Regions from separate parts of the Mus musculus genome. Here region 2 is reported to be linked to region 1. Evidence: microRNA targets listed by miRTarBase, many of them from high-throughput screens and not tested one by one. Region 1 holds a microRNA gene; the other region holds the end of a gene's coding sequence.

Evidence for each region. Region 1 holds the annotated microRNA mmu-miR-5101 (UUUGUUUGUUUUGCUGAUGCAG, at 1,427-1,448, shown strand). A microRNA usually pairs through its seed, bases 2 to 8, with sites in the 3' UTR of a target mRNA and lowers its output. Matches are read on the target gene's strand: a 7mer-m8 pairs with bases 2 to 8, a 7mer-A1 pairs with bases 2 to 7 and ends in A, and an 8mer does both.
Region 2: the mRNA of Prkd3 is a reported target of mmu-miR-5101. Seed matches in the 3' UTR shown: 7mer-A1 at 1,335-1,341, 7mer-A1 at 1,330-1,336 and 7mer-A1 at 1,324-1,330.

The regions. Positions count from the first base shown.
Region 1 is chr12:75,907,728-75,910,879 of GRCm38, forward strand. Mir5101 (microRNA 5101) reads left to right here and starts at 1,376; the gene lies at 1,376-1,458. Syne2 (spectrin repeat containing, nuclear envelope 2) reads left to right here. Exons shown (of 116, transcript NM_001005510.2): 15 at 1,141-1,219; 16 at 1,449-1,636.
Region 2 is chr17:78,949,211-78,952,210 of GRCm38, forward strand. Prkd3 (protein kinase D3) reads right to left here. Exons shown (of 19, transcript NM_001171004.1): 19 at 195-2,820. The coding sequence ends at 2,647. Among named protein-coding and RNA genes, the nearest start is that of Ndufaf7, 14 kb to the left of the region's middle.

The sequences.
Region 1 (3,152 bases):
GCGCCTTCTTTATGGGAAGGGAGGGTGGGGAGACTTGAAAAACTCAAAATTATAAGTTTCAAGGAAATGGAAGAGGATGATGAAGACATACATATCTGTTTATAATTGATCATTTAAATATTATGCTCTTCCAAATTGGAGGCATCATTCTAAACTGGGCTAGGTTTTATTTATATATAAAACATGGAGAACAGTACTACATATAACTTTTTGTCTTCTCTGAAGTTTTGTTTTGTTTTTTTTTTCTGGGCTTTTGTTTGTTCATTTGTACTTTGAGATAGGGTCATATGTAATGAGGTTGGTCTTGAACTCCCGATTCTCCTGTAAGTGTTAGATTACAGGAGTGTGCCATCATGCCCAGCTTTGGATTTACATTTCACTGGTTCAGTAATCATAGTAGTTAGCTAGCACAAAATAAGAATATAATCAGTGGTTCTTAACGTTCCTAATGGTGTAACACTTTAATACAGTTCCTTACGTTTGGTGACCCCCAATCATAAAACTATTTGTTGCTACTTCATAACTGTTATTTTGCTACTGTTATGAATTGTAATGTAAATATCTGTTCTCTGATGGTCTTATGCAACCCACAGGTTGAGAACCGCTAATATAATAAACAGGCGGTTTAGAGTCGGCTCTGAGTTAGCCCCAGGATTTTCCACAGCTGAATTAGTTAATGATAGTTTCACAGCCTTCTTTGTGCAGGTGGGGATAGCTTCTGAAAAAGTAACCTAATGTAGCTAATGAAGACTTACTAATTAGTGTGAATAAGGCCTGGGAAGCCTAAGCTATTGACACAGTTACACAATGTTACTAAGACGGACGAGCTGGAAGGCTTGGATCTGCTATGACTGATAAACTTGCTTTTTCCCATCAGCTGGACGCAGTGTAAAGTCACATGGCTATGTTAAGGTGAATCTGCTGTGATAGCCCTGTGTCATTGTGCTCTTGCATCTCCTAAGTCCTAGCCACCCTTCCTGAACCATTCCTTCCATTTCTGCTGCTGCAGTGTGGTGGTATTGAATACTCAAACATTGCTGGCAACCTTGCCCTTTACTGACATCACATACTGACATCTGGATTTCTTGGCACATTTTCAAAAGTAAAATCTGTCAACATTTTTTTGCCTCTCCTTCACAGAAATTTACTGGAGAAAAAAAGTTCCTAATTCAACTTGATGCTTCTTTTCAAAAATGTGAAGAAATGTATAAGAACTCGGGTAAAGTATCCTAGTTGCTTTTTAATGGGTCAGCTATCATTTCAAGATGAGTATTGTTTTACTTTGATGGTTTGGACATTAACTGTTTTCATCCCTGCTTTCCTTTCTTTTGCTTTTAATATTGTTAGGCAACATGCTTGTTGGTTAATGCAAATAATTTTCTTAGTATCAGTTACAAACAAAAACCGTTTTGTAAGACTTGTTGTTTTTGTTTGTTTTGCTGATGCAGCCAGAGAATGTGAGAGTATTAGAGAGGAGTATATGATGCTGGAAAAGAATGTTCACTCGTGCAGACAATACATCCATAACACGAAGGCCACACTGCAAAGAGCACTGATGTCTTGGGCAACTTTCGAGGAAGATCTCGCCCTACTAAAGGCTTCTTTTGACTTGACAAAGAAGGAACAAATTAAAGAGGTATTTGAAGTCAATGGTTCTATCCCAGTTTTACATTTTATTTTTGGAGACTGACTACATACATACACCATTCAAGTTAGGGATTAAAGGCATGCATTACCATGTCCAGCTAGAATGAACTTTTCTATTTCTTTTTGTTTGGAAGCCCATTTTGAGTCCAAAAGTTGAGTGTCAACAAAGGAGTAAACATATCTTCTAGAAAATTCTTCAAGAATTTGGGAAGAACTTAGTTTTTTCCTAATGTAATTGTCAGAGAGTATTTCCTTTGAATTGTACACACACACACACACACACACACACACACACGTTTACATAATAATACAGCTTTTTTTTTTTTTTGGATCACTCTATCAAGAACCTGGAGACAGGTTCTTGGCTATATGATCTAGGCTGGCTTCAGAGTCAAGACTCTCCTGTTTTCATGGGACTTCCTTTCTGATAGGATTACAGGCATGTCCTACCATGCCTACCTAAATCACTGTTTTTAAGAATTACAATTTTCCATTTAGTTAAAACCTTTTTCCCCTACATCTTTTCTGAATTTCCCTCCTACAGAGGGTCCCAGATTCATTTGATCAATAGAGGCTAATACCACCTTCATGATGGTTTTCCTTAGTCTCTAGGCCAAGAATTATTTAACACGTCCCAATTTAAGTCATCTAGTTTCTAGTTCCACAACTTAGTAGCAGCATGGGTTCTAGGAGATAAATGCTGCTGAGACCACGCCAGAGTTAAAAAGCTCTAACAAGATCTCTGGCATCATGGCAGAGGTTCGGGATTGTATGTTCAAGATGGCATTTTCTGAGTTATGTATATTTTAATATCAGATGTGTGGAAGGAATGTCAGTGCAACTATTATTTTTGTATGCCAGCTAGGAAATAGCATGTGTTTCTGTCACTCGCTTTTGTAGTTGAAAGTGGACCAAGACAGCCTTTCACTCTGAATGGAGCAGAATTACTTTGTGGACAGTAGGCTCTTGGTATGGAAGAAATGCAGGGAGTATAGGAGTGCACAGAGAGCACCTTAGACTTAGAAAGTTCCCTCGTCTCCCTGTCACCTGGGTTGGTCCTATAAGCTCATACCATTGGTTTTCAATAGTTCTTCTGTCTTTCAGGGTCTGATATTAAAATGTACATAAACCTGGGGAAAGTTGCCGTCTTGAATGTGACTCTGCTGAGATACTCTGGGCTTCCAGAGATCTTAAAAGAGACTTTGAATTTTACAGGAGACTTGGTAGCATCTATCACATAGACACTGTGCCAGTATTACATATTTGCCCTAGATGACTTAGGAAATTCTTGGCCTTGATATTAAATATCAAGTATCAAGGCAATATTGCCTCTATTGAAACCATTACCAGAGTGGTATGGCCTCTATTAATCAGATGAATCTAAGAACCTTTGTTAGTTTATCAGATACTTAGAAAAGTTGACCAGGCATTTCTGAAGAGTCCTGGGCCAGGAGGACAGTGTCGAGCACCTGCTAGGCAGCAACCCCAGAAAACAAGCTGGGAGG
Region 2 (3,000 bases), not on the chromosome of region 1:
TGCAGTATACACCTGAAATGACTTTAAAGGGTTGTCTTTCACAGAGGATATATAAATATATATGTGCTCATGTAGCATTGGCTATATTTACAAAAAAACTCCTGTTACTCAGGCCCGGGGAAAATATTATAACCAAATACAACTCTCTTGAGATCCTTATACTAGAGATGGTCTAAGGTTTTCACATAGGAAAGTATGGTGATAGAGAAATACATTTTATTATCAAGTTTTGAGAATATTTACAAAAAGTGGGATGTAACAAAAAATATAAAATGTACTAAACAGTGTCATTATACACTACTTTGAAAATTGTCACATGTTTCTAAGAAACAATTACTTTCATATATGCAAACACAGCTTGGCTTTAAGACAATGACAAAAAGTTATGCAGGTTAAACAGTGGAGTGGTTACTCAACTCCGCACCGTGACAGCGCCTTTACAGTCTCTCTTTAAACAGCACAGGGCTTTGACAAAAACAGAGTGCAATTAATGTCATGGCTTGTAAAGTCTGATTACAGAAGTACAGCAAACCAGCAGTCATTTCAGTTAGTTCTCACCTCCCATGGTAAAACCACCGTGGGCTGCCTAGTGACACACACGAGTTCCACCTTGTACATACTGGTCAAGCAGACTTAGCAGAAATGGAAAAATCCATTCTTAGAAGTTTCTTAAAATTACTCTTCACAACTACTGTATGAAAACAATTACAGAGACAGTTTGGAAAGTCTTCTGGAAATTCTTACAGATGTACAGTACATTGTCAATGGCTGGGACGGGTAAAGGGATTGGGGATATAGGCCTGGGTTTAAATCCATATTTAAACTCAATGCACTTTGACAACTAACCCTGTGCCTCAACTTTAAGTGTGCTTAGTCATGTGACTATTGTGAGGACAGTTCAAAGCATAAACATTTACAACCGGGCACCCCTGCTGTTTCTGTCACCTCAAGAACATTTTTAATTTTAGACAGATCACTGCAGCTGCATTCTCATCTGGGATGGCACTTAGTTTTGGTCTGCTCACACACACAGTTTTTCCTTTGCTATCTCAGAGCCCGTGGTAAGCGACAACCCTGGCATTCCAGATTGTCACAAGTGGTCACATAGCCCAATCTTCACAGCCACATGGAGGAAGGCAGAAGGAAGAATTTATGGTGTCTACTCTACAGACTGAGAAACTAAGTCAAACAAATGCTCAGACAATGTTATCTGCTCAGCCCCACAGATCCACAGAGTAAAGACACTTAGGCTTAAACCCAGGCTTTCTCATTCCAAATTCTTGCTCTCAGCACAGAAAAGGAAAAACAACAAGAAAAACCTGTTTTGTTTTTGTTTTGTTTTTTTTTTTTTGTGACTAGTGAGGAATGAAGAAACAAACAGCTACTATATTTCTTGTGAGAGGATGGTCCTGGATCTTTTTCTCTTTGGGTAAAGCACAGGTGGGAATATCACTAATGTGGAAATCTGAAGGACTCCAAAGTTTCTTGAATTTGGAGGATTTCGGATTTGTAGGTCAGGGATGCTCAACTAGTAGAGTGTGCAAACATTTCAGTATCTGGCAGTGAAACCTTCCTGGTGTAGAGCAGCTCAGATAGGGATACTGACCTTGTATTAATAACTACTACAAAACAGCTGGCTGTTGGAGCTGAAGTGTAAGACGTTCTTACTCCTTCTCCATCCGCTCTACTGGTAATTAGGTCCCACCTCAATAAACTAAGTTTTCATGTTTGACTTCAGTCACTCCTCCAAACTGCTCAAACGACAATGCTAATTTAAAAACACTAGGTATTGGAAACCCCATCCAAAGGCCAAGGGAAGAGGAAACAGATAACAGTGACATCTACTGACCTGTGTTAGCTTCCCTCTCTAGTATGTGATTTTGTCTATACATTATTCAACTCCAGGTGAGGATAAATTAGTTAAATGCAGCGTTGTGCCCACCGACTGTGGCATACTGTAACATGATGGTGCCAATTGAGAACATACGTGTTCAGAGGCAGAGCTGAGTGATGACCAGCTATTTCTATTCATTTGTAACACCAATTGTTCGATTATCCTAGTGACTGTTATAACATGGAAAATGTGACAACTCTTCTGTCATACAGGCCATATGGAAAGACGCATCCACCGGAAGGCCAGCAGTACAATGGTCTGCTTATCGGGTCCAGGAAGGAGGAAGCAATGCCTCCGACAGTGGACAAACACTAAAGGTCCTTACAGCAAGCTGTATGCTGTTAGCCTCATGGTTACTGCTTAACTGCAAACCTGTTGAGTAATCAACCTTATAAGCAATAACTAGACAGTCATAGGCCTTTAAAACAAATGATGTAATAACAGAAAAGGAGAGGTAAAAGAGATAAATTAAGTGCTAACTCACATTGTGCTAATGTGAAGGATTAGGAAAAATTACAGAACCAGTTATTGCTTATGCTATAAAAATTTATAGAAGTTCCATTTTGACTTTATTACTCAGTTTCCCTTCATGTACCTACTCGTTATGAGCTACAGAACTGATGCCACAAGTCCTTCTACTTCCTCACGGTGCTGCCGCCTTGCAATGGTAGCCTGCAGAGGCCACCAGCCATGCAGCAAAGTATCCGCTCTTGAAGTGAAATCCTTCCTTATTGAGGTCGGCGCACTGACAACTAAGGATCCTCCTCCATGTCGTCTGGGTTGGGGGCCATAATGAAATGCTTTGGGTATTCCAGATTGTGCGTGTATGCGTGTATTTCCCAGCGAGCATCATCACTTTCGTGTGTAATGTAACGTTCTCCAATGCGAGTTTCAAATTCTCTGAGGTCAAGCCAAGTCTGATAATCCTAGGAAAAGAAAATGATTGTGAACCATAAAATAGACAGTATGCCGACAGCCCCTTCTTGTTTATAACCTTAGTCACACAATTGGCCACTCCTCTTCCTAAGTTCTAACTGTGGTATTCTGAATGGGCAACGTTGAAGGTGAATCTTAGAAATCGGAGTCCATTACAGGCTAATGTGCTG